2 linked regions of the Sus scrofa genome follow. The protein of the gene in region 1 interacts with the protein of each later gene in a biochemical or structural test. Links are inferred from orthologs where the notes say so. Each region holds a gene or a part of one and is shown in the gene's direction. Other genes may lie near its edges. The genes, in order: NGF and NGFR.

Evidence for each region.
Region 2: the proteins of NGF (region 1) and NGFR form a complex in vitro, tested with the Homo sapiens proteins (2 studies listed by BioGRID and IntAct, with this or other methods). The link is inferred for Sus scrofa from reciprocal best matches to the Homo sapiens genes NGF and NGFR.

Annotation. Positions count from the first base shown.
Region 1 is NC_010446.5:105,249,849-105,265,461, forward strand, and holds the start of NGF (beta-nerve growth factor), read left to right. Parts: upstream 1-6,842; 5' UTR 6,843-6,941; intron 6,942-6,959; exon of another isoform or gene 6,960-7,113; intron 7,114-15,613. UniProt on the Homo sapiens protein: Nerve growth factor is important for the development and maintenance of the sympathetic and sensory nervous systems.
Region 2 is NC_010454.4:25,692,673-25,708,413, forward strand, and holds the start of NGFR (tumor necrosis factor receptor superfamily member 16), read left to right. Parts: upstream 1-6,737; 5' UTR 6,738-6,874; coding exon 6,875-6,943; intron 6,944-14,561; coding exon 14,562-14,703; intron 14,704-15,741. UniProt on the Homo sapiens protein: Low affinity receptor which can bind to NGF, BDNF, NTF3, and NTF4. Forms a heterodimeric receptor with SORCS2 that binds the precursor forms of NGF, BDNF and NTF3 with high affinity, and has much lower affinity for mature NGF and BDNF.

The DNA of each region.
Region 1 (15,613 bases):
CAGGAGACCCCTTTGCCCCCCATCCTTCATCCAACCATGCTTATGTCCTAACACACCTTTTACATTTATTTTGAATTCGTCTCCTCTCTATGCTTAGCTCCTGGTGACCTGCTTAGGCCGTCATCATCATTGTTCACTTGGATGTGACCTTTATGTTTCAATTCAAGAAGAGCAAACTGGGAGTAGAGAATGGAAGACTTTAGAGCTTCAGGCTAAGAATGTGCAGCATAAGGTACCAGGGCCACCATCCATATCCCTACAATTTTTTTTTTTTTGGTCTTTTTAGGGCTGCACCCATGGCATATGGAGGTTCTCAGGGTAGGGGTCAAACTGGAGATATAGCTGCCTGCCTACGCCACAGTCACAGCTCGCCAGATTCAAGCCACATCTGCAACTTACACCACAGCTCCTGGCAACACTGGATCTCTGACCCACTAAACAAGGCCAGGGATCGAATCCACATCCTTGTGGATTCTAGCTGGGTTTGTTAACTGCTGAGCTATCATGGGAACTCCCGTATCCCTTCAGATCTCACTATTGAGGTGCATGATGATGACCTCTTTCTACAAGCACCTGGGGGCTTTCTATGGCTGCAGGTGTGTGTTCAACAGGTACAGGAGGCAGACGAATAGTGGTGGGGATTATTCTTCCCTCCTCCAAAGTAGCTTTCAACCAATTTTGAAAGGAAGTTGGAGGATAAATACCCCAGATTCCCCCACTCTCATGAGAGATGACACTGAGGAACGACCACTTTTCCTGAGAATGACTATAGACCCCAGGTGGTCTCCCTGCACAGGCCCAACCCTCCATTATCCACACTCTCCCTGACCTCACCTGGGACTCTCCAGCTTCATTTCTTGACACTTCATATCCCATTACTTCTGAACTGGCTGCAGCTTCCTGCATGCACCATGCCATTTCACACTTGCACACCTTAGTTCTAATGGTTGCCTCCAAAATGTTGCTCTTTCCAACATTCTTCCCTGGCTCCTACTCATGCCTCAAAGCTTAGCTTGAGCAATAACTCATTGACATATACTTATTAAGCATTTGCTCTATGCAATACAGAGTGTTACAGAAGTTCCTAGAAAGGGCACCCAGTCTTGACTTGGGGGATCAATGATACCGCATTAGAAATGTCATCTAAGATTCTGAAAGATGAGCCCCAAAGGAAGAGAAATGAGCAAGGTGGAGCTGGAGGAGAGGGGTGGTAGTTTTGGAGGAACTGAAAAAAAGGAGTATAGAGCCCAGAGGTGCCAGCGCAGCTTATTAAATGAAATAAAAATAGTCACCGAGGCTGGAGCTGTAGAAAAGAAAAGGAAGTTGCAAGAGGGGAAGATGAAGGGCATGAGGGGCCAGAGGACACAGGGCTTTAAGGAATATAGAATGTGTGCTAGTGCAACGGGCACAACAAAGAGGCTCTGAAGCTCCAAGTTGGTCAAACGCTCCATCCCCTGAGCTTCCACTACTTCCTTGCTGGAAAGTAAGTTTCCATATGGCAGGAAACACTCCTTCTTGATCCTTGTTTGCTTGTACCTAACACAGATCCTACCCCAGAACAGGACTGTAATAAGTGCTGAGTTGGGCCACTGAGGTGACAGAAAGCCACCCAGGATGCAGCAGAAGCCACCCAGCCCAGACTCCTCCACAGGAGCGTTACAAATGTGAGGGTCCTGCCTGTGACTCAGCACCACAGAAGCCTGATTGTCAACATGGCACCATGGACAGGAAAGGACAGCCATGCTGCTCTGCAGCCAGAATTTGATCACTGGGGACCCTGCCTCGGGGCAGCTCTACAGTGGCCCCAATAGGAACACTTGAGGTCAGGCCCCATAGGGGCTGCAGAGTGAGGACCAAAGTGAAGGCTCTGGGGTAGCAGAAGTGCTGTGGGGCTTCTGAGGAGCACTGAGGACTCACCCTGGAGGGAGAGAAGTGGGAGAGCCTCAGAGGTGTCTGAACACAGCACCCATGAGGACAAGAACTGCGCTGTCCGCGTGCTGGCCACAGGGTCGATGGAGGCCTTTGTGGGGATGGAGCTGGACCAGTCTGAGCAGCTGGAGGTTCACAGCTGTTTGCATCAGGAGAGTAGAGAGACTCCAGTCTGCTAGGAGGCTTGCTTGATGCTACACCTAAGGAGACCACTTGTTTTACCCTGGCCGGTTTCTATACCTGTCTCACTTTCCTTTCCAAATCAAGCTCAACAAAATCACAATTTTATTCTTGACAGACCTGGTATAAAATGTTTTTAAATACTTATTTATTAAATGGGTTAAACAACTTAACTTGATTACTTAGTTCCAGGTGACTAGAGGTTGTTCCATTCACTTGCTGAATCCCTGGCACCTAGAACAGGACTGGCCCATAGCAGGTGCTCAGATATTAATTATTTAATGTCTAATTATATAATTACAAGTAATTATACTTCTTATGGCTCAAAGAGGAGAGAGCTTTCTCCCAAGGTTGCACCATCTGAGAGGAGTGAACTCTTCCCTGTCCCCAGCTAGTGGCTTTCCTGGGCTGTGGTGCCCCCGCTGGAGAAAAGCTGAACTGCTCTGCGCCCAGCTAGGATTTTCTGGTACCAAGAATGAGCTCTGCAGGGCTGAGCAGGAGGAGTTAAGGACTTCAGGTGGAGGTGTTGGGGTGGGGTGGTGGCAGCAGAGCCCTTGCTAGTGCCTGTGCACGTGGTCTGAAGGGAACCCAGGGAGCTCCTGGCACATAGGGACATTCAAAATGTGGGTGACTGAGGGGCATGTGTGAGAGGTCAGGGTTGACGTGGGGGTGAAATCATAAAAAGAGGAGGGAACACCCGGAAGAGTGCGCATGGGGGAGAATGTCAAGTCCTGGTCTGAGCCACGGGAGGCTCATGCGTTTCAAGGGCAGACGAAAAAATCGGAGAGGTGGATGGCAAGCCAGGCCAGCACGGTCACAGAAGCCTCGGAAAGCAAGTCTTAGATAATGGAGGTCATCCTAGAGGAGGCTGAGGACTGGCAAAGGCTGCTGAACTTGGCTGAAAGGAGGAAGAGACCCGGTGTTCAACAGCAAGAGCATCACAGATTTGGGTCACATCTCTGCTCAGTCACTGACGTATGCTGAGCAAGAGATTTATCTCTTAGGTCCTCAGCTTCTTCATTTACAAACAGATGATACCTACTGATGGGGCCACAGGATGCCTTGCCCAGGGCCTAAAACAAGGAATGCCCTCAATAAATGCTGCCATTATTATGTTGGTGGAGGTGTGCTTCTTGCAACTGGTGACCTTGAAGAAGACAAGAGTTCAGTAGGGATACGGGGAAGAGATGGGAACCAGATTGCGGGAAGTTAAAGGGAGCCAAGGAACCAGTGGGTGTAGATGACTTTGCTGAGGAATCTGGTAGTGAAAGGAAGCTGAGAAATTCAGTGGTCAAGCAGGAGGAAGGCCAGAGGTTTCTGTAAGAGAAAAAGGCAAGTGAGTGCTCACAAGCCAAAGGGAGGGAACCTGTAGAGAGGGAGAACAGAAGATATCAGAGAGGGAGAAAAGACAGAGAGAGGCCCCGTGAGTAGGCAGGGGTGGTCCCCCAGAGAGAAGGGGGAGACCCCTGATGGCAGTGTTGTCTGCACCTGGCCTTTCTGGGCTCCTTTACCAGCTTCCCTGCTTAGGCCAGAGATGGGAGGTCTTTCCCTCAGCCTCTTTCAGAAACTGTGGTAACAAGAAGACCTGCTCAGAAGTCAAGAGGCCTGAGTTCTGGTCCTGACCCTGGCTGTTTGTACTTGGCTGAGCCCTTGTCCTTCCCGAACCCTTGTGTCCTCCTCCATGAATGAGGTGGCTAGAATGATCTTCTCTGTGATTCTGCAACCATGTCATCTCACTAAGCATGATAAAACATTTCCTTTTCTGAAGTTTTTCTCGACTCTGATTAGAAGGAAACAAAACAAAACAAAAAAAAATCTTTGAGCTGAAGTTATCACTTCCGCCAGCAACTGGGACAATGTGTCAATATTTCTGGTTCACACGTATGGCAAGCAGATCTGGCGATTCCATCAGTACTGGCAGCTCGCTGCTGAGCCTCCTGATGTTTTAAATAGCTTGTGCACTTTGTCCTGGCCTTCTGGAATGAAGCAAAGGAGAGGCTGGAGCTTTGCACTAGGCTGAGTGCTGCCGTTGATGAGGCACTCAGTGGTTGAATCCTCAGAAATAACAACAATTACTGTGCATGCCACAATCTGTCCTCCAAGGCAGCAAATGTATCAGCTGCTAGTTATTTTGATATCTTGGATAAAAAGCTCTTTTGAGAAAATCAAGTCCAGAAAAACATTCTTATCCTCTGCTTGTCCACACCATTCCTCCTGCCTGCTGCCCTCTCAGCTGTTTTCATTCCTATAAATGTAGCTGGTCCAGGCCTTAAGGTCCTTGTTCCAATGACCCAGGAGAAAGATGTTTCTGTTTGGGCCCTGAGTGACAATGGAAGATGCAAGAGAAGAGACACCTGGCTATGTCTCTGTGCCAAGGACAGTCTGACCTGGACCTGCTGGAAACCGATCCAGTGTAGATGGGTTGGCTGACAGCCACACGTGGTTCTGATCACTGCTGGATTTAACAGGCATTCACTGAACACCTACTGTGTGACAGACCCTGTGCTAGGACCAGGAGAGGTGGTGACAGATGTGGCTAGGAACTGCTAATCCAGCCCCCACAAAAACACAAGCTCCCTGATCAGGTACCTTAGATATCTCGCAGGGCCTGGCACATAGCAGGTGCTCAACAATCAACCTTTGGAGTGTGCATTTGTTATTTACATGCTATACTTGACTCAAGATCCTTAAAGCTCAAGGACATAAACAGAGCTATTCAGGGGAGGAAAGGAGCACTTATTAAATCAACATGTGCCATCAGAATGTGATCAATAATTTGGGGGGTGGGGCATCCAGGTTTACATCATTTTTAAATTTGCTTCTTACACTCCACATGAAAAAGAACAAGTGCCCCTAATCCTTTTTGTCCTCGGGGATGCCACAAGGACACCTACAAAAGCTCTGTATTCAACAACCAAATTCTGTTATTCTAAAATTTGTAACTTCATCCCTAAATTCTTGGGCAGCTATTATGTAAGGCTTAGGGCTGGTGCTTTCAAACAAGTTTATACATGACATGATTGATGAATGAATTTGTCCTATTGTCTGGAAATTCCTTTGTTTAACTGACGGTGATAAATTTCCTAATGGATCACCCTGACTCTGATGCTGCTTCTACAGAAAGGCCCATTCATGGTGGCTCCGGCTGCTTACACTCACCTCCAAAGTGTTCCTCCACCAGTTTGCATCTGAACAACTCAAGGGAAAGAGGCTTTGCTGGGAAATAACGAGGTCGTATCAAAGCTCAAACGCTCTTCTGAGTCTGGGGTTTTTCTCCTACCTCATCCCTCTCAGAGCATACATATGTGGGTGAATAAAGTATGGGAGCAAAGGTAAAACCAGAAAGAAGCGGAAACCTCAGGTTAGTCTGTGTCAAGTGCCTAAGCGGGGCCTCACGTGGCTCAAGTGCCCTCCACTGGGGGACAAGGGCCACCCTTGGACTTAAAGCAGGAACTCCTGTGCCTCACTAAATCCCAGTGCCTGAGAGTGACCTTCACCTTAATTGTGCTGTCAGAGCTTCACCCACAAAGGGAGTCTCTGCCTGCCTCCCCCCACCACCTATCTCTCTAACTCTCTTCTCCAAGCCTTCCTCCCGTGTGGCATCAGGCACAGAGGAGGGGTTCTGTATGCAATTTGCTCAAGGAAGAAGTGAAGACACCTACATACAAGCTCAATACCAGGGGACGGGGGTGTGAATTTTCAAAGCTCCATGAATCCCCCAGAACATTATTACAATTAATGATGCACATTTGGTGGAAATCTGACTTTAGGGATATTTCTGGGCTATGGGTCAGACAAACTCCCTGGTCAAGCTCTGAATCCATGGAACCCAAGAAATCTTGGTGGGCCAGCTACGAGATCCTGCCTAACTGAAAGTACGGATGGCGGAGAAAAAGAATTTGGGTAGGGCTTGGGGTGGGGCAGAAGGCTCTCTGCCTGGGTCAGTTTAGAGTCACAGAACTTTTGCAAAACTGATGAAAGTTGGGAACCCTCCACCCAGAAAAACCACACATCACACAGTAGACAAATCTGCTTACAATTTCAGAAGGATCAGGCACCCCGGAAAGGAAGCTTCTATAATCAGGGCCTGAAGGTAAGGCTCTGATTCTAGGTCCTAATGCCTAAGTGCCCTGCCCCAGGGCCTTCTAGCTGGTTCTGCTGTAGGAGCCACAGCTCTCCCTGTGTCAGAGGAGTCAGGAACCTGCATCTCCTGGAGCTCCCCTGGGTACTCTTTTCTCCCAGGGTGACAGGAGGCGTCCTGGGAAAAAAGGTCTCTGGGCTTTTCTCTCTTGGCTCCCAGGAGCTGGAGCAGCCCAAGCCCAGGGCACGAAGGATGGCACCAGGCAGACCCCAGAGGAGCTGGAAGCAAGGCGCGGGCTGCCGGCTTCGCAGGAGGGAAGGGAGGGGAGGTGCGGGGAGCTCCCGGCGACTCCGCCCACCCCCAGCCAGTTGGCCCTTTGGCGTCCGAGGCCAGCACCCCCGCCTGGTGCCCCAGAAAAATCCCCAGCCAGTAGGGCTTTGCAAGCGGCCCCTCCAATGCCGATGCATTTCCTTTTGACCTCTGGAGGTTTGACCCCCAACCCTGGCTGGGTCAAGCCCGCCCTCCCGGGAAAGATCGCTCTCTGGTCCCCAGGACCCCTACTGGCGGGCACCTCCGCCTGGCTGGAGCAGGTGCGGGGCTGGGGCTGCGGAGGGTTGGAGTGGGGGAAAGGATTTGGAGTGGGTGACTCAGGAGTCCGGGAGGAGGGGCTAAGAATTCAAGAAGCCTGTGTTAGAGCAGCTCGGCGCTCCGGCACAGCAGAGAGCGCTGGGAGCCAGAGGGGAGCGCAGCGGTGAGTCAGGCTGCCCTGAGCCCAGCCCGAGAGGGGCGCAGCTCGGGCACCGGCGCGGTCCGGCGTGGCTGGGCTCCCGGGGAGAGTATGCGTGGATCCCAGTGTGGCCAGATCTCTGGGTGCCCCGGAGGCTCCCATGGGCTGAACTGCGGCCGTGAGAGGAGCGTCCCAAGTGGGTGCGGGAGCCTCGGCGGGTGGGCGAGTCGTGGGGAGCAGGGCTCTCTCAGGTCGTGGAGTTCCCAACCTCCCGATGGCCCGAAGTGCGGGAGGCCACTCTGGCGCTTGAAATCGCTGTACGGCGGTGCCAAGGACTAGCTCGAGGGCTAGAAGGGGGACGGCACTCAAGTGAGAGAGAGCGAACGAGTGTGGCGAGAGGGATGCGCGGGCTGCGAGCGCGCCGGGGCCGCAGGAGTGGTGATCTGCACGGCGGAGTGCGAGTGCAGGGCGCGCGCGGGCTGGGGTGTGTGCCTAGTCCCTCGAGTGCTACGCTGCCCCCAGGGAAGGGGATGAGCGGGCAGGGGGCCCTGGACCTGGTGCAGGGCATGAAGCAAGGGTCTCCGGGTTCCTTCGCCGGTCGCTGGAGAACTGGGAATCCCCAGAGAGGGCCCCAGGGGTTGTTAGAGGAAGCCTGCTCGCCAAGGGACTCCATGCAAGGTCCTGCTACGTGGGTTACACGCCTCACCTCCAGCTGTCTGCTGCCAGGTGCGGGAGAAGCTAGTATGGAGGGGTGGGGCGGCAGTGCCTTGGGTCCAGACGGCAAAGACCTAGGGGAGGGAGAGACAGGACTCCGGGTCGCGAGCGGCATCTTTGAGCCATCGTAAACAAGCGGCTTCACTCTGATTACAACTCTCCTTTTTCTTTCCAAACAACAACAACTGAGATTCTCATGGAAGGTGTTTTCTGCTTGAACTTTTCTCTTCTCTTGTGATTTGAGAGATTAAAAAAGAGCTTGCTTGCTAGGCTGGTTTTTCCAAGTTGTTCCAGGTTGGAAGTTGTAACAGTTTGTCGGATAATTTATGGGTGTTTCATGCATTAAAGGGTATTACAGTAAAGCCTTTGGGTGCTATGGGTATTAAGAAAAACTTAGTGCACGTTCCCAGCGGGAAACCAAAATAGGACTCTCCTGGGTATCTCTGCCCCCTCCGTCATCTGAGGCCAATGGAAATCCTGGAGAAAAGGCACTTGATTAATTGTCCTGGCTCCATCCTCTGGGCACACCCACTGCCAGCGCCAGACACCTCCTCCCCCACTCACATGTATGGTCAGCTGCTTTCTCAAATTCAGAATGGCAGTGGCGGGCCCACCAGTATCTTCTATTCCGGGTCTTCAAACTTGAAGTTGTCAGTTAAGTCTGCGGCCGGAGGGGACTACTTCTTCCTCTCAGCGCAGAGGAGGGCAGCAGCCATTGGACCCTGCCAGCCCTTCCTGTGCAGTGTCTACAGTTTGAACGTCTGAAACTTTCCCCTTCTGAAGAGCCAATGAAGAAAGGCTACATTGGATCTGCATGGGTCTCTTCTGCAGAAGTCATACGTCAGCCTGGCCGGCCCAAATGTCAGTCCATTATGGGATCTGTTCCCAGAGGTTCAGCAGCAACTGAGGACTAGGGGTGGGGAGTGTGAATGGTCTGGGGGCTGGGACTGGCCCTGCTGGCCTTGAATGTGGCTCATACTTGGGTCATTGAAGGGGGTTGGGATTACCATCACATGCTGCCAACCCCCCCCACCATGATTTTCCCAACATTTTTAGGCAGGTGGGAAAAAGGGCAGTCTTGATGGGGAAAATGTTAGGAGGCACCACAAATCTCTGAGGCATGGGGACTCATGTTTTGATAGAGCTATAGGAGTACCTCAGAGGATTTTATAGCCAGCTGCTTGTGCCATGCCTGCCCCGGCAGCCATCCTACCCCAAAGCAACCCAGGCCCAGACCCACTAGAGAAATGGCAAGCTGGGTCCACTCAGGCAGCTATCCTCATACTGGTGACTCTTTCGATATCCTTAACCTTTGTCAAGGAGTGAGGTTCTCAGCTTCTCCTGTTGCCCACCACATGTCTCCCCCACCCAGGGGGCTGGAGGGAGCAGGGGATGAGGCTTCACACTCTCCTCCTCCATGGAGAAATTTGTGTGATGGCCAGGAAGGGGCCCCCAGCTGCCGACATCAGCAGGGAGGGTAGGGCATGGCAGGGCAGGGCTGGAGCCTGAGGGAAGTTTCTCATCATTACTGAGATTAAACTGATGGGAAAATGGCACAACTTTTAAATGAGTGCTGAGCACGAGTGCTGCACATTCGTGGCATGCCTTGTTTCAGTGGCAACTGCCTTGGAGCCGCGGAGAAACCACTTGCTGTTCTCAGCAGGCAGTGGAAGGCTGGCTGAGGATTCATATCAAAATCTGGATATCACTGAGCAAACAATCCATATTCACAGAGGGTTGCTCCTCCTTTGACTAGCACCTCTGATCTTGCAAACCATCAGCTAAACTGTTAGGAATCAGGCTTAGCTCATCCTGACAAATCATCTCTTGTGATGGACCAGTTTCACAGCATATGGCAGCCTCTAGCAAGTAAATGGAAATGAAAGACCCTTCTCCAACTCATTGCCAGAGACCTTGCTTCCTGACAGTGGGGAACCAGTTAACATCCTAACTCTAAATAGCAGGAAAACTCGGATGGCCCTGAAGCAGAAATGCAGCTAGAGAAACTGAGGCTTTGAAGTCACTGACCTTTCAGGTGTGCAAAGGATGAAAGTGTCACTATTTAAGCTGAGAGGATAGACATTTTGCCACAAAATTTAGCCAAGGCCATAATAATGAAAATGTATAATAAAAAGGGCCTATGCTCATGATTTTTTCATTACTCTTCTCTGGGTTACTTTACATGTTTTGGAGGAGTTTCTATAGGTTGTTGGTCTCAGAATACAATACAGTGGGAATCCCCTTGAAATGATCTCTTGCTATTTTGCTCCCATATTTCGGGTAAGCTTCCTGTGGTCGTCTCCTGAGTTATGAGACAGGAGGGGAAGTAGCTTTGTGACCTTGAGCGAGTCACTAAACTTCTCAGACTACTTTCCCATTCTATAGGACAAGGGTAGTGGATTAACAGTGTTTCTCAAAGGGGCTGTTGGCACCTGGGGACGATTCTTGGTGAAGGGTGACCTATTTACATAATGCAGGAAGTTTAGTGCCCCTACCTGCCTATTAAATGCCAGAAGTCACGGTGATTACCCCAAATCCCCTCCCCCCATATGTGGCTAAATGCTTATTAGAAGGATAATACTGCTCCCAGTTGAGAACTCCCTTGGAAATTACCAATACAGGCCTTTCAGCCCTATAGTCTGGTCATCTATTATTTAATCATTAAATTTGGGCTTCAGGTGTCCAGCCCTGGGCTTCATCCTCCAGGAGCCAGCGTATCAGGCTCCAGGAAGCCAGTTGCAGGAACCTCAGTGCTGTGGCTCTGCCAGGCATTGTCCTTTGCTTTGGTCAGTGGAACGTGACTACAACTGAACCATATGAAAAGAAAACCAGAAAGAGGAGGGAGAAGGGACAGGCGGTATTAGAGCATGGCGGCTTCCTTCTCTGCCATATGCTATTAAAAACACAGGCAGACTGCCTGCCCCGGGTGTCCACAGCATTGGGAGGAAATCCTTCTCTCCTTCACTAAGTGGATCACACTCTGGCACCAGGAGGTCCCTTCCCTGAATGAGAGAACGAGGAAGCAGAACCCTCCCCAGCATCGACAACACTTAATACAACATGGGCACACGTTGGTATCAAATTAATACAACTGTGCCCAAGCTGTGAGAATAAATGAGAATTAATAATGTGACATTCGATTGAAAAAGTAGGCTAGTAATGCTGCACTGGAGGGATGGTGCTTGTAAGACTGGGTTTATTCTCACGTAGAACAGTTCACTTATCCTTACCAAAATCTCACCAGAGAATTAAAAAATAGGACCATTTGGTTATTCATAGTGCAAAGAGCTAAAATGAATAATGTCTTTGGAGGATGTTATTGCTTGCTACTCACTCCCAAGCAGTAGAAGAGAGAAAACTACCAAAACAGTAGAGCTGGCAGAGTTTAGAATTGATTCCTAATGAGGCCAAAAAAAAAAAAAAAAAGGACATAAGAGACTTAAGGAGATTCCCAAATGAAGTTGAGACAGGTCTGATGATGCAATCTGTCAAGTGGGACTAGCAACAATGCTTTCTGAATTGGCCAACCTCTTTTACACGCGGAAGTCTTTTTATTAGGAGTAGTATTAGTCAGTCAGACAGTCAGGGTTTCCCTGAAAATTCCCCACCGGAGTAAGCAGATGGAGATGTTTTGGCACTGCCTGGGGTGGCTCTGCAGGTGGAAAGCTCTGCAAGTGGAACGATCTGGCTCTGAAGTCAGTGGGAACGAACAGCCCAAGCTTCCCACAGAAGCCTTTCCACATCGAGGGCAGCTACAATCCACGACTACTGGGATTGTCTCCCAATAACCACAAAGTATTTGCTCTTTGGTACAGATGGGCTGATCTTCCCATTTCCTCTGGCTGCTTTTTTGGTAGCCAAGGTTGGTGGAATATAACATCTGGCTGCATAGTGTTCACGTTCCCAAGTAAGTTCCAGGGAGCACTGTCTGCTGGGAGCCATGAGAGCTCAGCCAGGTTGGGGGGAGGGGGTCCTGTCTCAATGCCCCCCCCCAAGTCCCATGGCTGTGGATCAGAGATGCGGTTGAAGACTTGGTGCCCCCGCCCCAATCACTGTGGATCAGAGTGGTAGTTAAAGTGACTTGCATTTCTCACTTGTGTATTCTGGGGACGTGCCATCCCATGTTTGGACCTGAGTAGACCTGGCTTAGAGGTTAACATACGGGGGACCACCTCATTCTTGTCAGTAACCAAAAGCTAAACCCCCATGTTGTTCGGGAGATGCAAGAGAGGCAGGTTCCTTTGGATTGTGGTTTCTAAGGAAGGAGGAAACCACAAGGTTCAAGGTGGGCTCTAACTGCCCGAAGGACGCTGGACTAGGCGAGCAGGGAGGAAGGAGATGAGCACCAGGAGAACAGAGATGCAGGAAGGCTTCTTTTGTAGCCAGTGTTTTTCTTCCATAAAACAGAGATAACAGTGATACCCGCTCTGTCGGGCTGTTGTACGCATCAAGTGGGAGGATACTGGTGGAACATCACAGGCCTGGTGCACAGCAGGCGCTCAACAAACACAAGTTCCCATCCCTCGTGTTCTCCCTCGGTGCCCAGAGGGGTCTGCGGAATTCCTCCCTTTATGCTTTTTAGTTCAGGTTGGACAACCTCATCTTTGCATTTTTTATGTCTCTGTATATGTAAAGCTTTGTTACACGGAGAGAAGAAATCTTCCTGGTCGTACTGAAGCTCCTCTAGGAACTTACCCACCTGTATTTTGACCTTCTCTATTTAATGTCCTCATTTTGATAGAATTTTAACCAAACATTTCATCTTCTGAATTACTTTGGCCTCATTATATCCAAGCAAAAGGGAACTCATGGACATTTTCCTGTAATTTTCTTTCAGAGGCAAACTTCGTCTCAGACTTGTATTTCAGAAATGTTATGTAATGCTCTCTAAATAAGGCATTTCTTGAGAATGGCCATTTGTACTGGCAGCTTTAAGAGTGTTTTGGTTCCTTACCCCACATAACAACTTGTCCTCCTCCAACAGCTCGTTTCCTTAGGATTTTATGTACCTTATCAAGTTTACTAGAGATAGAAGAGGAAGAAGTGAATTTTTCTACGGCAGCCAGGTGTTTGTGCTCTCTCTCACCCCAAGGGTCAGTGGCTGAACAGCAGTTGCTGAATTGCATATAACCTTTGGTTAAAGAGGGACCAGTCCTCAGCCCCCTGACCTCAGGCTGCTGGATTGATCTTTCTTCTCCCAATTAGCATCTTTTTTTTTTTTTTTTGCTATTTTAGGGCTGTACCCGCAACATATTGAGGTTCCCAGGCTAGGGGGTTGAATTAGAGCTGTAGCCTATACCACAGCCATAGCAATGCAGTATCTGAGCCACATCTGCAACCTATACCACAGCTCACGGCAACGCTGGATCCTTAACCTACTGAGTGAGGCCAGGGATTGAACCTACAACCTCATGGATCCTAGTCAAGTTCGTTAACCGCTAAGCCATGAGGGGAACTCCTAGCATCTTAATTAATATGCTAACTAGAGGCCTGGGCACTTGGAGAGTCATAATAAGTATAAATCATGGTCTTGTCCAAGGAGCTTGCTCAAGAGTCAAAGTGGAAATGCCTCATCGGATAACGTAAATGAGGTAAGGCCATAGGCTGGTGGTGGCTGCAGAAAACAAACTAGAGAGGGTCTGTCCCATCAAGAGGGGAAAGGCCATCTATTGCTTTGCAGGTCTGTAGGACCATGTGGGCAGATTTTCCAACTTTTCCGAAAGAGTCAGAATTTTGAGTTCGATTATATAGTTTCTTCACTTTTCGAAACATCCATGTGGACCAAGCAAAACCTGTCTGCTGGGGGGTTTTTTGTTGTTTGTTTGTCTGTTCGTTTGTTTTTGCATCTAGTTTGTCTCTCCTCCTGCTGCCTTCCTGCTCGTAACACTCTTGGAGCAGTTACGAGCAATATCAAAACAGAGACTAGCTGTAGAAGGCTTAGCTGTGTGGCTCTCAGAGAGGTTTGGGGCAAGGTGCCCTCTAGGGAGGCTCCTGGGGAGGGGATGTCCTGCAGGTGGGTAGGACTGTAGACAAGCAACCCTGGCACAAAAGAGACCTAGCTTCAGATCCAAGCTCTGCCTCTTGTTGACTCTGTAACCACATTACTCAATCCCTCCAAACCTCAGTTTGCTCTTCTCTAAAAGGGGCTCATTATACTGCTCTTGGAAGTCAGTTGTGAGGGTGAATGAGGGAGGGAGGGCTGGAGAGCACTGACTCATCCCAGAGCCTGGAATGGAGCTGGTGCCCAGTGAGCCTGAGCCCTGTCCGATGGCTGGGCGGGTGGGCTTTAGCCAGCCCAGAGGGCGTTAAGGGCCAGAGGCATGAGGAAGGGCCCCTCACTGAGTTTTGTAAACAGTTGCTTTCCAAGGACTTGGGCTCCTGTTGCTTTTCCTGCCCCAGAAGAGGGAGAGTATGTGTAAGCTGTTTTTCTCCCCTCCTGCCGCCTTCCTGCTTCTCTCCGAGGCCTGAGACCGTGTGCCCACTTGCTCTGTCAGAATCCCACCCTTTCAAAACCTGACCTGGGCCACAGCTGAAAAACACAACTCTACTGGGTAAGAAGGAAAAGTACTCCGGGAGGCTGTATAGACACGCACGGCAAATATTCAAGGAATTCTTAGGAATAAAAAAAAATTCGTAAATCTGGATTTCTGCATGAGGCCATCACAGGAACATGTTTTCTCAATTAGCATGCACATTGCTTGGAGTGAAGTCACCGAGTCCGCGGCTCCTCCGGGCTGACTTGTGCTGGAGCCACCTGATCTGGACCTCACTTTCCATGATCTAAAGCTGATTGAGCCAACCCTGTCCCTGCCCCCCAGCTGCTGAAACAAAATCACCCCCAAATCCTAAACCAGGGTGAAGACATATGCACTTCCCTGCAAAGCACAGAAATTTCAGATTCTGGGTGTACTCACCCCAGATTGAGAAAGACAGCACTACACTTGATGGTGGAATGATAAGAGCCAACCACTTGCGTTGTTCTTTTCCTGGGGCATTTATTGTTAGATGGTGACTGTGCATTGCCCCGTCAGAGCAGATGTGTCCTTTAGGTTCTGAAAGCAGAGAAAATAGTTTCTTTTGAGAAAGCATGCATCAACTGCTTAAAATATTACTAGTCAGTGCCTGAGATCAGCGGTTATGTTTTCTGGATGGTTTCCTAGACTGACTCTTTTCCAAGCGAAAGGCTTTGTCTGATATTTGTAATTTCTGAAATATTTGATTAATGATGTCCCCTCACCAGAGGGATGGTCTAGGGTGCATAATTAGCAGCCTGCCTCAGAAGCAAAGATGAGGCGCAGCATCCAACGAGATCAAGCAAGTAGTTGAAAACATTTCAGGTCAACTCCCGTGGTGTAGAGGAAAGGAAAATGGTTTTCAAACTGTAGGTTGAGACCCATTAGGGGGATGTGAAATCAATTAAAGTGGTACAACTCTCTCTTGCTCTCTTCAAAAGAAAATAGGAAAAAAAAGGAAAGAGTAAAATTTTTACAAATCAATGTGCATTGCATATAGCAAGGGAAAGTATTCATGAAACTTTGGTCTTAGCTGTATATACATTTACACATACATATGTGCAAACTGGATCATGATGGAAAATGTATTTTTTCACTATGAGTCATGGTTTAAAAAGTTTAAAAGCTGCTGGCCCAGACGACAGCATGGTTTAGGAAAGGGCATAGCTCTGAAGCCAGACAAACTTGGGGTTAAGTCCCAGCTCTATGATTCCTAGTTGTGTGATCTTGGGTAACTTAAGTTCTCTAAGCATCAGTGTCCCCATCTTGAAGGTCAGACTGATTGCTTTCTCATAGAACTATTATGTAAATTAAGTGACAAAGATGTATAAAGTGCCTGGTACTGTGCCTGCTGCCAAGGCGGCCTCAGGAAGTGAGAGCCACTGTCATCATCTGTCTTCTTCTTCCCCTCCCCTCTCCTCTTCCTTCTTGATTTTCTTTGTGACTAATCAACCTCATCAAAACTACAAG
Region 2 (15,741 bases), on another chromosome or scaffold:
CCTAGCCTCTCTCGGTGGGTTAAGGATCTGGCATTGCCGTGAGCTGTGGTGTAGGTCGCAGATGCAGCTCGGATCTGGCGTTGCTATGGCTCTGGCGTAGGCCTCCAGCAACAGCTCTGATTAGACTCCTAGCTTGGGAACCTCCATAAGCCACAGATGCAGCCCTAAAAAGAGACAAAAAGACCAAAAAAATGTCCTGACTGTCCTGGGATGCAGGATACAAAAGCGAGAGGGCTGACTGAAACCTTCGGACCTACAGGGCAGCTCTGCAGTCCTTCAGGGCTGGGCGGTCAAAGTGGAGGGTCGGAGGAATTGCCTAGAGGAAGGCTAGCTGAAGGAACTGTGCCCCAGAGATGAAGCCAGAGGCTGGAGAGAGGGCTGGCCCCCGCCTCGGCAGGGAGGATGGTTGCCCAGAGGCACAGGTACCCCGACTCTCTCCCCTGTGCCCTTAGCAGCCCGCCTGGAATTCTTTCTCTCTTCAAGCACATTGTGCCTCCAGGTAACTCTTCTCCAGGACCCAAAGTCTAGGGAGATTAAGTCCCTACCGTCTATGTGTGAAGAAATGAATCAGATGTAATTGACAGAGGTATGGGTGCAGAACGAGACACGTAGGAGGGAGGGTGACCTTTGAAGGCAAAGGACTGCAGGTCGGAAAATGGAAGACTTGGACCTACTCTACAGTTAGGGTGAAAGACAAGAGAAGATGGGGGTTCCCACTGTGGCTCAGTGGTAGTGAGCCTGACTAGGATCCATGAGGATGAGGGTTGGATCCCTGGCCTCGCTCAGTGGGTTAAGGGTCCAGCATTGCCGTGAGCTGTGGCGTAGGTCGCAGATGCGGCTCGGATCTGGCATTGCTGTGACTGTGGTGTAGAATTGTGGCTGCAGGTCCTGATTCCACCCCTAGCCGGGGAACTTCCATATGCCGCAGGTATGGAAGTTGAAGAGAGTTGTTTTCATGGGAGCATAACCCCCGGAAGGGCTCAGAGGTGAGCGAAGCTGACACACACGGGTCAGTCCGCGCCCCTTGCAGGATAGGGTGGCAGCAGGAAGGGAGGAGGACCCGCCTCTGAGCTGGAGCAGATGGTGGGGGAGGGCACCATGGAACGGGCCCACTTTGATGTTCCAGTTAATCTAACTGGACTCCAAAATTGACTAATACCTCTTGCCCATCTCACTACTAACGCAGCTCCGGAATCCAACGTGGCTGACCCCAAATTAGTCCCCAGCCCCCACTCTGCCCCCTCATTGGTCAGGTGCCCCTTGCAGCTGGCGAGTCAGCCCAGAGGTAATCACTGCATCACACTTCAAGGCCACTGAGCTCACCCCTGATGGGGGGCAGCGGGTTTCACTTACCTTGCCTGGCCCAGTGCCCGGGGGCATAAGGGCTGCAGCTGAGGGAGGCCCAGCACCTCCCACCCCCTCCCTCAAAAACTGTTCTCTCCTTGCCCATCTCCCTTCGCCCCTTTTCTGGCTGGACGGTGGAACTGGAGGATAGGCAAGGTGCTGCTCCCAAAGCAGGAAAAGAGAATGCTCGGAGTTCCCATTGTGGCCCACTGGCAATGAACCTGACTAGTATCCATGAAGATGTGGGTTCCATCCCTGGTCCTGATCAGTGAGTTAAGGATCTGGCGGTGCCGTGAACTGCGGTGTAGGTAACAGATTTGACTCGGAGCTTGTGTTGCCGTGGCTGTGGCGAAGGCCAGCAGCTACAGCTCCAATTTGACCCCTAGCCTGGGAACTTCCATATGCCGCGGGTATGGCCCTAAAAAGACAAATTAATCAATTAATTAATTAATTATTATTTTCCTTAAAAAAATTTCCTATCTTTCAAAGTTACATAAATTTCACATGATCCTAAAAAGAATACCACAAAATTTAAAAAATAAGAAAAAAAATAAAAAAAAAGAAGCAGTGAATGCTCACCAGAAGAGCTCGACACTTGTGCCTTCAGTTAAATGACAGAGACCATACCTCGGCTTCCCTCAGGCCATCCAACCCCGGCCGAAGCCCAGATTCGTGTGCAGGCGTGTCAGGAGGGAGCATCTGAGTGCCAGTATTGAAGGGCCAAGTGAGATGCTTGTTCTGAGATGTAGGTTCTTGGAGTGAAGGCTGGAGGGGTGGTGGTGGAGGGGGAGGAGTGGCTGGGACATGGGGGTTAATGGTGACACGTGGCTGTGAAGTGCCTTCTACAGTATAGTGGCCACTTATGGCACCACTGCTTCTTTTGGGGGTGGCGTCTCCCCCAGAAGGAAAAAGTGGCTTAACCTTTTCAAGCCTCAGTCTCTTCATCTGTATGTGGTGAACCCAGCCCCTCTTTCATGACACTGCGGTGGGGATTAAAGATTGTGTGGGGGCGGGGGGTGGGGGTTTGCCATTGTGGCTCAGTGGTAATGAAACCGACTAAGATCCATGAGGATGCAGGTTCGATCCCTAGCCTCGCTCAATGGGTTGCCATGAGCCGTGGTGTAGGTCAAAGATGAGGCTTGGATCTGGCATTGCTGTCGCTGTGGTATAGGCAGGCAGGTGCAGCTCCAATTTGACCCCTGGCCTGGAAACTTCCATATGCCACATCTGAGGTCCTTAAAAAAAAAAAAAAAAAAGATTATGTGGATCTTCCGGCCCCTAGGATTTCTCCATAAATGTGAGCTCATTGTCTGCACCCGCATTTCTGCTTGGAAGTAAGTTGGCGCTGTAGGCTGGTTCCCTAGTGACTGCGGGGGAGGGGGGTGGGGAAGAGGGGCTGAAGGCAGACACAGGGAGCTCCGAGCAATGTTTTGCAGAGGGCCCTAAGCGAGGAGTCCCAGCGGAAAGGGACGCCAGGGAATATGGGTTAGGACCTTGCCTTTCTGCAGGGGCAGGGTGATGGAGCAACGGTGAGATGAAGCAGAGAGGGCCACACCCCTCGCATTTCACCTCCTGAAGATGCGGTCTGACCCACCAGTACCACTCCCAGCTCCATGTAGATTGGCTTTGAGATTCTCCACCCTTTCACCTTGGGGTCCCTATTAGGTCCAGGAAGCCCTGGCATGTGTGTGGTGGTGGAGGAGGAGCCCTCTATACGTGCAGTTCAGTTATGGGAGATGGTACCCGGGGACCCTCCTGTGAAAACTGCTGCCCCCTTGCTGCTGCCTGTCTGATCCCACTTGCCGGTCAGCTCCTAAGAACCCTCTCCCCATGCCCCCTCCCACGGCTGCTGCTGCTGCACGTGCTGAGGCTTAGGGGAAAGGGAGTGGAGTTAGGAAGAAATTGGTGAAGGATGCTCATGTTTGGGGCTAGGAATCGAGACAGTTAGGGAACTGGGGAGTTCCTGCTGTGGCGTCTCTGCAGCACTGGGATGCAGGTTCAATCCCTGGCCCGGCACGGTGGGTTGAGGATCCAGTGTTGCAGCTTTGGCATCGGTCACAACTGCAACTCGGATCTGAACGCCATATGCTGCGGAGAGATCCAAAAAGAAAAAAAAAAAAAAAAAAAGGTGGGGGAGTTGGGATCCGGCAGATAGGGGCACCATAGGGCCTCTGATAGTGTTCCTGGGAAAAGGGACCGACTCAAGTATTCAGCACTCACGAGGAACAGGAATCCCTGCTGCAAAGGAGCACTCTGATCAGAGCCATGCCATCTCGCTAATGATCAAGCCAAGGTGTCACATTCTAAAATAATCCTTCATATCACGTCACTATCACACCAGAACCTCAGCTCCATGAGGGTAGCTGCTTTTGTTCACCGCTAGAACAGGGTGTGGCCCATAGTAGATGCGCAATAAACACATGTTGAATGGATTAAAGGGGATGCAGTATCTTTTTTATTTTGGCTGCACCCATGGCATATGGAAGTTCCTGGGCCAAGGATTGCATTCGAGCTACAGCGGCCATCTATGCCACCGCTTCGAGCAGCGCTGGGTCCCTAACCCACTGCGCTACGGTGGGAACTCTTTGAGTCTTTTCTTTGATGAATTTTATTTTCCCTTTAAGATAAGATTTTTTTTTTTTAACTTTCCAGGGCCAGGGATTGAACTGGCACCACAGCAGTGACCAGCACCAGAGCCTCAACCCACTGGGCCACGAGGGAACTCCAAGATAGGATCTTTTTAAAAAATTACCATTTTATAGGGAGTTCCCTTTGTGGCTCAGTGATTAACGAATCCGACTAGGAACCATGAGGTTGAGGGTTCGATCCCTGGCCTCGCTCAGTGGGTTAAGGATCCGGCGTTGCCATGAGCTGGGTGTAGGTTGCCAACGCAGCTTGGATCCCGAGTTGCTGTGGCTCTGGTGTAGGCCGGTGGCTACAGCTCCGATTTGACCCCTAGCCTGGGACCCTCCATATGCTGCAGGAGCAGCCTTAGGGAAAAAAAAAATTACCATTTTATAGATGAGGAAACAGGCTGAGAGAGATGACATAACATCAGACCCTGCAGAAGTACCTGATGCAGGGGTGGGTGGGAGATGTAGGGATTTGTGGCTAGCTCTGACTCTCAGTTCAGTGCTCTCTTCTTTACGCAATTCATAGCCACTCTCCCGACCAGCACTCAGCATGACATCATGGTCTTGTGCTCTGGCTTAATCATAGAAATACTGCTAATAATAGTAACCATTGCTGTTTGTGATTGTTCAAGTAAGGCTTAAATGATCAAGACCATGGAAATTATTAATAACCCAGGCCCAGCCATAGTGGTGCGGGTCAGATTAAATTGTGTTGAGATGGATAAGCTCGGCAATAATAGTAACTGGGATCATAAATTAATAACAGGAGTATTTAAATTAATGCCATACTGTCGATACCCTGGGTAGTAAGCAGCTCAGCGCTGCTGTTAATACTAATGTTGCCCCTTTCCTGCCTTCCATGAATTTAGCTGAGAGGAAAGGCAAGGCTCTAAAAGCAGCAGGAGGAGAAAGCTTAAAAGCGATCCTTTGGGAGTTCCCTGGTGCCGCAGCAGGTTAAGGACCTGGTGTTGTCACTGCGGGGGTGCAGGTCTGATCCCTGGCTGGGAAATTCTGCATGTCTTGGGTGTGGCCAAAACAACAACAACAACAAAGTGATCCCGGTCTGGGAGGAGGGCATCCTTGGGGATTTCTGAAGGGGGGCTAGCCGCCTGGCCTCTCAGGCCCAGCCATCAAAGGGGGTCATGTACATTCACAGTCAAGGCCACAGCGATGTCTGCCTGTCCTTTCTGGGGATGTCCTTTGTTGGTTATACAAGAAAGAAATCTGCAAGGAAGATTTTTATCCCCCATGAATGAATGAAATAGCTGCAGCTGATCATTACAGCTGCGACATCACCTACCAGCAGCGAGCATGCCCTCTTGAGACACAAGTGTCTTAATCTGCCCCTTCTCCCTGAATGTGGGATAGTAGCCCTATTTTTTTTTTTTTCCAAGTCTAAACTGATGTACATCTGGCCAAGATCAGGGTGAGGGGATGGACTTTGTCGACTTATCCCCCCTCCCCAGCTCTCCTCCTGGGCCTTCCTGTTTGGGAACTAGGAGAGGGTGGGAACAGGTAGTGGGGGGGGGGACATCAAGGTAGACGTGGGAGTGGTTCCCACCCAAAGACTGGCAGCACACTCCCTGGGGTGCTGGGGTGGGGTGGGGTGCTATGATTAGGAACTGCCAAGCTTTCTAAGGCATGGTGAGTGCAGTCCTGGGGAAGGCGACCGTAGTACATGGACAGGTACCTGGATGTGAGTCCATCCAACCAATTTTACCTCTATTCCCTTCTCCAGACCTTTTCCAAACGCCTACTGTGTACGAGGCATTCAGATAAGAAACCATAGTCCCCACCTGCACGGTGCTTATCAGCTAATGTAAACACAATCCAATGAAGGCAAAGTGTTTAGGATGCATCTATGCTCTTGTTTGCGTGTAAGTGTGTGTGTTCATGACCGTGCGTGTGTTCCACGTGACGTAACTGCATCCGTACACAAGTGTGTGTGAGTGTGTAGGTGAGTACGTGTGTCTGCATATTATGAGCACATGGGAGATGAGTGTGCATGTGTGGAGGTGCACACGTATGTGTCGCATGCGCAGGTCTACAGGACTGCGTGAGCATGGTGTGGGCACGTGTGAGTGCACAAGCACATATATATGGGAGCTTGGGAGTGGGTGTGTTCCTTTTTGTGCGTGTACACACCTGTGATCCCTTCAAACCCATCTTTTGAGAATTCAGTTGATAGCGGGATGGACTCCACCTTGAACATCCCCGCTGCTTGCGGTCATGGTCAGGCCACCTGCTGACCCCCCTCCCTCTCCCCTAGGCCTCCGCACAGACAACCACCCCCCAACACCCGTACCCCCCCTCCGCCCCAGCACCGGGCAGGGGCAGAGGGAGGGGTGGCCTATAGGCCAGTGGGTATTATTGCTGATGCGGCTGGGTAGGGAGCAGGGCACCGGGGAAGAAGCTGAAGCCAGTGGCAGGGAAAGGCAGGTAGGAGAGTGAACCCTGCGGGGGGCCGCAGCCCAAGGGAGTGGGAGCCGCAGTGGGGACGCCCCGAGCCCACAGCATCCGGGACAGACGCGCTGTAGCGCTGGCCAGGCGCCGGGTACCCGGGCGGGGTGGGGGATAGACTCGGAGGGCCGGGGCGCGGAGAAGCGGCAGCGGGGCGGGCGGGCGCGGCTCCCCGCAAGCCCTCCCTCCCCTTCGCTCCCCTCCCGGAGGCGGCAGGGCGGGCGGGAGCGGTTCCGGGGGTGGGCGGGCGGGCGGGCGGGGCGCGGAGGAGGCGGGGCCGCCGCACTGGCTTCCCTCAGCCCCTCCCGCCCTCAGCCAGAGGGAGCCGAGCCTCGGCCAGCTCCGGGGGGCGGGCGCTCGAGCGCAGCGCAGAGCAGCCCCATCGGTCCGCGGAGCGGACTCCACTGGAAGCCGAGCGCTGCCACGGTAGGCGGGCGATGGGGGCAGGTGCCGCCGGCTGCGCCATGGACTGGCCGCGCCTGCTGCTGCTGCTGCTGCTCCAGGGGGTGAGTGCTAGCCGGAGAGGAGCCCGCTCCCTTTCCCAGGACCGGAACCCTGATGAGTTCAGGTTTCCTCGAGGGAAAATAGAAAAGAGGGCTGGGGTCCTCGATGCTGGGGGCGGATGGCGGGAGAGAAGCTCCGATGCCAGTATCCACAGAGGAGCATCTAAGGATTTCAGAGCGAAGAGGCGACCCTGAGATCCAGGGTAGAGATGCGGATAAGAGGGGCGCACGGATGCGGGTCCTCAGGTACCAGGAGGTATATGTGTGGAGGAGCTGGGAAGGGTCTCTCAGAAGGGGACCGTGGGGCTCTCGGATGCCTGGGTTCCTTGGAAGAAGGCGCTTGAATGCCAAGATCTCGAGGCGACTTCCCCCCTGAGCATCTTGATCTCTGGAGGGTCATGGGACGGAACCTGGGCTAGAGAAGGAGAAGGAATGGGACGGGAACTAGAGAAGTGAGGGGCGAGCGTGGTTAGGGCGGGGAACCGGAGACAAGGGGATGGAACAATGGGAGAGGAGGTTGCAGGGACTGGAGGCAAAGGGGACTGGGCATCGGACAATGAGGACCAGCCAGACAATGGGGGGGAGGGGCGTGGGAGGGAGACGTTCGTGGAGCGGGGCTCTGTTGAAGAAAGAGAAATGGTTAAGAGAGGGCAGAAAAGGGATGGCGGTGAGGGAGGTAGAGAGATGGAAGCAAAACGAGAGGACGGAGAAGGGAGAACGGACCCTAAGGTGGTCGGGGCCCCGCCTGCCCGCGGAGGGACAGTGGGACGAGAAGAGAGGGCAGAGGCACAGACACTTCCCGCGCCTGTCGCGCGCTCTTTCTCCCGGCCTCGCGAGGTCAGGCAATTGCGGCTTGGGGTCCGAAGCTAGGAAGGGAGTGCCCACTTCGCCGGGGCGAACCCGCTCTCCGGGTTCTCCGGCGACCGGCGGGCTCCTCCTCCGCATTTATTCTCGCAGTTTGAAGCAGAGCGGAGGACAGGATGGGACAGAGCTAGGCGTCGTCCGACGGGTTCTGGTCGCCGCCACTTCTTGGGGTGCAGAGAGGCGGGACGCGCAAGGCGGGGAAGGTCGGGGTAGCGCGCAGGCGAAGGCGGCCCGCAGGGGGCGCTGTGGCGCGAGGGCTGAGCCGTCGCAGCTACCCGCGCGACTGTGGCTAAGCGCCGCACCGCCACCCCGACCTCCAGTTAAGTTAAGCAGCCCGAGCGTCGCGCTGGTGGTTCGCTCTGTTTCCGCGCCCCGCCCAGCCTTGGGTGAAAGACACCGGGCAAGGAACAAAACGGGGGTGCTTGTACGCCTGGGATTCTGTCCCGGAAAAGGACCGTGGGTCCTCGTGAGCGTCAAAGTCCGCCCGGAAGTTCTGCCGAGACATTCAGGAGATGTGACCTGGTGTGTGGCCATGAACCGAGTGCCCTGAGAGGTTTGGCAATGGAGGAGGTGTCCTCACTCTCCCTGCCATCTTCATCTCTCATCGGAGCCTCGCATCTCCAAATCCCAGCTTTACAGACAGAGGCTCTGAGAGTTGAAGCCAATTGCTCAAGATCCCACAAGCAAGTAGAGCCAGAATTCTTAGCTAGCCTGCCCCTCACCTGATTCCCAGCCCGGTACTCCCCGTACCTCTTAAAAGGGGCTGCCCGGCGTCCCAGCTTGGGTTAAGAGCTGCGTGGCTCGGCGGCGGCGGGTCGGCGTGACAGAGTCCGGCCGACGGAATATTGGGGGCTGGGATGGGCAGAGAGCCTCTCCGGGTGCTGGCCCTATCCTCGAAGCTCAGCCCCAGTTCTCTGGGATGCTAGTACCTGTGGCTTCGTCCGGGCATGTGGGAGTGACTGCGGGCACGTTTGCTGACTAACGTCACGGGTTAAAGATGCTTCTCAGCCGGGGAGGAAGGGAGCGGGAAGGGGGGTGGGGGGGACTGTAGTGCGGATCCCGGAGAGGCGAGGGCGTGGGCTCCGGATCTGGGCTGGAGGGTGTCCGCCGAGGAGGGAAAAGGCGAGACAGGAGGGGAGCTGCGCGTGGAGGGCCTGGGGGCTCGGAAAGGTGGACCCCGCTCGGAATCTGCCGCCTGCAGCCCCTGGGACTCTCGCCTCCGCCTTGCCGCGGGGCTGCTGTCTCGGGGCTGGCTCTGTGCACCGCAGCGGTCCGAGTTTCTTCCTGGGCCGCGGCGAGAGAGTGCTGAAACCAGAGCGCGTCCCGGCGGGTCGGCTGGCGAGCCGCGCCGGTAATGGAGGCACTTTGTCATTCAGACGTCTGTAACCGGAGCCGCTGGACTGGCTAATGCGCATAATAGGGATGCAGCGACGGCAGCAAATGCGAGCACGCGAGCGGGGCCGGGTGGGGGAGGCGCCTCGGAAGGGAAGGTGTTCCCACGCCGCTGTACCAGCCAGGTCCCGTGCACGCGCCTAGATTCTTCCCTGGGGGTGCGGGGCGGGGAGGCGGGAATAATAAAATTGATTGAGTGCCTACTGCGTGCCATGCATGGCCCTGAGTAATTTCTCTTATGTTATTTAATCCTTATAAGGTCCCAGCCGAGTCAATCTAGTTATTCCCATTTACAGCTGAGAGAGCTGAACCTCCCGGACCTTCAGACGCGAAATCAGGCTCTCCCAGTTTAGTAGATGGTGGCGCCCTTGTTGGAACCTAGGGTGCCTGGCTTGGAGTTTACTCTGTCCTCCTTATGCCAGGCACCGGCCCCTCCCCCAACCTTCCAGATCACGGAAGGACACGTGGCCTTGAATTACACATTAGATCGTGTCCGGTGCTCTTGGCACCACAAAGTTATAGCTGAGCCCCTCTCTCCCAGCCCGCCCCCTTTCAAATTATTACTGCAACATCCTCCTCAGTAATTCGCTCTTGTCTTTGACCCCAAACTCCACCCCTGTCTAAAGGGTTGAGGGGGCATGTGCCTCCCCAGGGTTTGCATTGGTCTCAAAGACCCTTCCCATGTTTGAAAACTCTCCAACCCCGTGACAGTGGCCAATGGCTCCATTCACTTAAGGAACCCTTTGCTGAAGCTGCTGTGAATGCTTAGGACTCACCACACTGAAGCCTGCCTGTAGTTTCAGATTCTTTCAACTATTTCGGCGTATTCTCTATTGGGTCCAGTTTTGAAAAATTAAATCTTAAAAGTCCATTCACGTAAGGGTGTTTCCACCTTAATTTCTTGAAAGCCTGGAAATGGCAAAAAGAACAAAAAAAAAAAAAAGGAAAAGATTTGCAAACATTCTCAAAAATGGAACGAAATCATTCCATCAGACATGGAAATGAGTAAGTGTAATAAATGTAAATTTCAAGCAAATGTGTCTGTCATTTTGGCAAATCCATCGTTTGGAGCCATTAGCCTGAATCCTCGCCATCCCTCCCTCCTTCCCAAGATTGCTGGGCCTTGAACCCAGAGGGAGTGTGGCCGGGTGGTGCATCAGGCCGGTGAGCAGCATGACCTCTGTGGGCCTCAGTTTCCACCTCTGTCCCATGACGGCAATCCCTCAAGTCTTTCCTCCTCAGCTTCTGGAGCAACTCTTTGGGGTGATATTTTCTCTCCATCGTGGGACCATAACTCCTTCCAGGAGTCAGGGACCATGTCTTAAGAGACACTCTTAGTTCCTTTTTTTAAAAAAGTATTTTATTTATTTATTTATGTCTTTTTGCCTCTTCCAGGGCCACTCCCGTGGCACATGGAGGTTCCCAGGCTAGGGGTCTAATTGGAGCTGTAGCCACTGGCTTACGCCAGAGCCACAGCAACGCAGGATCTGAGCCACATCTGCAACCTACACCACAGCTCATGGCAATGCCGGATCCTTAACCCACTGAACAAGGGCAGGGATGGAACCCGCAACCTCATGGTTCCTATTCGGATTCATTAAGCACTGCGCCTCGACGGGAACTCCAAGTATTTTAAAATGATAGTTGATTTACAATGTTCTGCCAATTTCTACTGTACAGCAAAGTGACTCAGTCATTGGAAACTCAGTCCAATGCTTAGGAAATAGCTGCTGACTTAATTAACTTTGAACAGAGCAGGTCCCCATCCTCCTTTGGTCCCCATCCTCCTTCAGACTCTTCTTGGTGGGTGTCTGTCTTCACTCCTATCTTGCCCCCTGCTCTGAGATGGTTTTCCCTCTTTGGGGATGGCTAAACTCTCCCCTCCCTGGAGTTCCCATTGTGGCGCAGTGGTTAACGAATCCAACTAGGAACCATGAGGTTGTGGGTTCGATCCCTGGCCTTGCTCAGGGCATTAAGGATCCGGCGTTGCCGTGAGCTGTGGTGTAGTTGCAGATGCAGCTCGGATCCGATTAGACCCCTAGCCCGGGAACTTCCGTATGCTGCGGGAGCAGCTCAAGAAAAGGCAAAAAGACAAAAAATAAAAAAATAAAAATAAAAACCTCTCCCTTCCTGCTACCTACTCTCTTCCCCCCACCCCACCCCCATCCCCTGCCCAGGCTTAGCAGTTCAGCTTGTCCTTAAGACAAGACACTTCTTTAATTAGTAACATTTAAAGTTTCCATCCTGGCGCAGAGGAAATGAATCTGACTAGGAACCATGAGGTTGTAGGTTTGATCCCTGGCCTCGCTCAGTGGGTTAAGGATCCGGCATTGCCGTGAGCTGTGGTATAGGTCGCAGATGCGGCTCGGATCTGGTGTGGCTGTGGCGTAGGCCAGCATCTGTAGCTCCGATTGGACCCCTAGTCTGGGAACCTCCATATGCTGAGGGTGCAGCCCTCTAAAAAACAAATAAATAAATAAATGTAACATTTATTAAACTCTTACTGTGCACCAGACAGATTTGCATAAATTACATTTACTTTTCACAGCCACCCTGGGCAGTAGATATCACCAACCCAGTGTTTTAGTTGGGAAAACTGAGGCTTAACAGAGATAGAGAATTTACCCAAAGCAACATGCTTATTCAGTAGCAGATCTGGAATGTTTTGAACTAGAACACAAAACAAGCACAGGAAACACATGGTTACTAATTATGTAGCCTTGACTCCAAATGAAAGACTTGGGAGAAGAGAGAGGACCACCAGTGGGCTTTGACAGGAGGGCGGGGCACGGGGCTGCCACTCCGCCCACTGCCACGACAGACCCTTCCACTATCCCGGGCCCAGGTCTCTACTGACCCCAATTAACGGGAACTCAGCCCAAAGCCAAAAGAATGCCAGAAAGACCTTGCAAAAGAGAAAGGAGGGGTCTCAAAGTAAATACACAGCTTACTCATTTACATAATGCTTACAGCCACCTTCTGAGGCAGGTCCTGTCATAATTACCTAATGAGGAAGAAACTGAGGCGCAGAGAAATTCCAAACCCGTCCCAGGTCACCTCACTCTAAGCCATGAGCAAGGATTCAGCGCAATGATGAAGGCAGGAGAACTCACACTTTTTACTCTGAGAAGGGCCCCCCCTTTTGGTTCAGATCCTGCTTTCATTCCCTTTATACATCTTCCCACCAGGGCTAGTTACGTACTTTCTAAAGATTCAATTAGACCTAATACATTAGAATGGGGGAGGGGCTGCTCCGGTCACACTGGGAGCAGCGAGAGTTGACAACTGATACCTTGACAGGAAAGGAGGAGACAGAAAAATGGTAAGAAAAGCTGACAGGAGAACTCCAAGAGACAAAAGTGTGGTCATTTGTGATAAAGAACATAGGGCATCACTGCATCGCCGCCCAGAAAAATCGCTCGTGTAACTATTGAGCCCCTGAGTCATAGGGAAACGGTGAAAGTGTGTTTCAGAGACAGAGGAAGGGGAAGCGCCCATAGTTAAAAGTGAAAACCATTAGATGAGAAGAGCAGCAAATCCTTGACCTTCCAGAATCTCAGCTCTCTACGGAGAGAGTTGGTCCCTGGAGTTCTCATTAATCGAGGCCATATTGTCTCACTGTCTTAAATTCCAGAAATATACACGTTGGGTCCCTAATATGTGCCAGGTTCTGTCTCAGGCACTGAGGCCAGCACAGTCCCTGCTCTCAGGGAGCTGACAGTCCCATGGGGGTGTCTGCAGAGACTCAGACCAGACAGGAAGACCGAACAGGGAGGACAAGGGACAAGGTGGCTCCGCCTGATCCAGGAAGGCTTGGGACCACGGGACCACTTCCCTGATGAAGTGACATTTAAGCAGAGTCCTGAAGGATGAAAAGAAATCTGAACAGACCCTTCTGGAATCTGGAGTCTTGCTCACCTCCTGGGGGAAACCTCGTGTCGGGGACTACACCCCCCCACCCCACCCCCACCGGGCTTCTGGTCTGCAGATGTTCCCAGCACCCCGTCCCTGCCACCTGGGAGAAGACGGTGGCAGCACCCACGGTTCCCCTCCTAGGCTGCCTGCACCCTCCCCATTGGGCTCTTGAGAACTAGTGGCTGCCTCCTCAACTGATCCAACCTGGCCATCCCCCTACCTCCATCAAACCCTGCTGAGACCTCAGGATATTTGAAAGGACTGGAGGGAAAGACATGTTTTGGGCCAACATGGAAGCAGCAGGGGAATGTCCCAAATGACCTGGACAGCGCCCCTCTAGTCCCATGATCCAAAAGCCCCTGTTTCCTCTGAGCATCAAATGAGGGCTGCATGGTCTGGAGCCAGGGAAACAGGCTTTGGAATTTTATTAGATATTAAGTTTTTTTTTTTTTTTTTTTTTTTTAAAGGAACAGAAATACAAAGCAAGCTGGCAGCAGCCCCTCCCTCTAGGGAATCTGGTGCTAAATCATTCCATCCATGAGCAAAGATGCTTCAGCGGCAGGAATCTGACTCCCCTCTCCCCTGTTTCCAATGCAGGTCCCACTGGCTGCCTGGGGGGCAGGGAGAGGGGCGGGCTGGTGGCTGGAAATCAGACCCTGGTGGAGCAGGGCTGCTGGATGGTGAGAGCTGCCACTTTCTCATCATTGATAACAGGCAGCCTTTTCTCCCGTCTTGGCGCCAGACTCTTGATGATTGGCTGCTCTTTTGCTTTGGCCCTAAGGTGACTCCCTCTCTCTCTCTCTCTCTCTCTGTCCAGAGAGATGCAGAATCAGAGAGGGAAAGCAGGGCAGGTCAGAACTCTCAGAGCAGAGCCAAAATTTGAACCCAAGGTCCCACCTCTGTTCTTGGGTACAGACCCCTCCCATTTCATACTTAATATGTGGAATGGTAGAATTAAGGACCCGGAGCCCGGCTGCCCTTTGTTAGAAAAAGACTCCTCTTTGGGTACACGCATCCTTGCAGGTGTGCAGCTTAGCAGGTGGCATTTGGGCTAGATTTCAGTTTCTAGTCACCTCCTTGGCTGGGAGTCCTATGCAAGCTGCAACCTGCCTGCCGCTTCAGCTGCTCCAAGTCTCTCTGCTGGACCTCAGGTTGCCTTCCCCCCATGATGTATCCTTGGGATTCTAGGAGCTGCTGTAACCCCAAGATGAACTTTGCAGAAAGTCAGCATCCAAGGCTCTGACCTCACACTCCCAGCAGCCTGCAGGGGTGCACTGTCCCCCGTGGCCTTTCTTCCCCACCAGCTTTCAAGTGCCAAATGCCTCCCTGGTGAGCTCATCCGGGCCCAGGTGGTTCCAATAGAAGGCTTTAGAAGGGGATGTTTGCTCCGTCGGAATCCACCCCTCCTCCATCTCTTGCCAGTCTGATCTTCTGACCTTCCCCCACTCAGGTGTCCCTTGGAGGTGCCAAGGAGACCTGTCCCACAGGCATGTACACTCACAGCGGCGAGTGCTGCAAAGCCTGCAACCTGGGTGAAGGCGTGGCCCAGCCTTGCGGAGCCAACCAGACCGTGTGTGAGCCCTGCCTGGACAGTGAGTATAGATGACCAGCGTGGGGAAGGGGGTGGAGGGCACACTCCGAGTCCTGGCAGGGACTCCTGCCCATCACTGCTTGGGCACCAGGAGTGAGTCTGCCGCAGGATAGGAGGCAGAGAGGGGAAGCTCCGAATGGATGAAAGAAGCATGCAGAGGGAGGAGGGGGACCTGAGGGGGGAATCCCTGGGGTGGGGGGGCGCCCCTTCCAGAGACCCCTAGCAGAGAAGCCTTGTAGAAGAGTGTTCTGGCCAGGTGGGAGGAGTAGCTGATGCTAAGACCAGCTAAAAATATCCGCTGCACTGCAAAATCAATGGCTGCCACTTACCCTCCGCGTGTTTGTGGGGAGGGGAGGAAGATCAAATCCTGGCTGTCCTGGAGACTGACCTTGGGGGATCCTGGGAGGGTGTGGCTACACCTCCCCCCAGGCCAACTGTTCTCCAGCCCTGACCGAGGAAGCAGAGCTTTCCCCATCAGCGGGGATGGAGGCTGGCGCCCTACAAGGATGTCTTTACAGGGGGGTTGAGGTCAGGATGGGGGAGGGGCGCTGTGGCCATTCCTATCTGGGATTTCCTTGGGAAGAGGAGTCTTCCAGCGCTGCTGGATGAGGGAGGCAGAAAGATGGCAGGTCTGCCTGGAAACGTCTCCTCACTGTTGATTGTCAGATCCTGCCTTCTAACTGGCTACTCAATGCCCATCTGCAGGACCAGTGGGAATTCTACTCAGACTGTTCTTTAATCATGCTGGGAACAAGGTTACAGGAACTGGGGACTCTGAACACACCCACCAGCCTGTCTTTAACCTTTGGAGCCAGCCCACCACCAACATCGCAAGGCACACACGCTCTCTCTTCTTCAGGCAACCCCAACTCCTTGATGTCCCGACCATACAGTTTTCCTATTTCTGTGCTTGTGGATCCTATAACTCATCCCCCAGCAGAGGGATGCCTGGGGCCAGGTGAGGAGGCTGGTCATCCTGCAATGCCTTTGCTACCTTGCCCTCTGGCCACCACTGCTGGCTCTGGCCATGCAGAGTTTC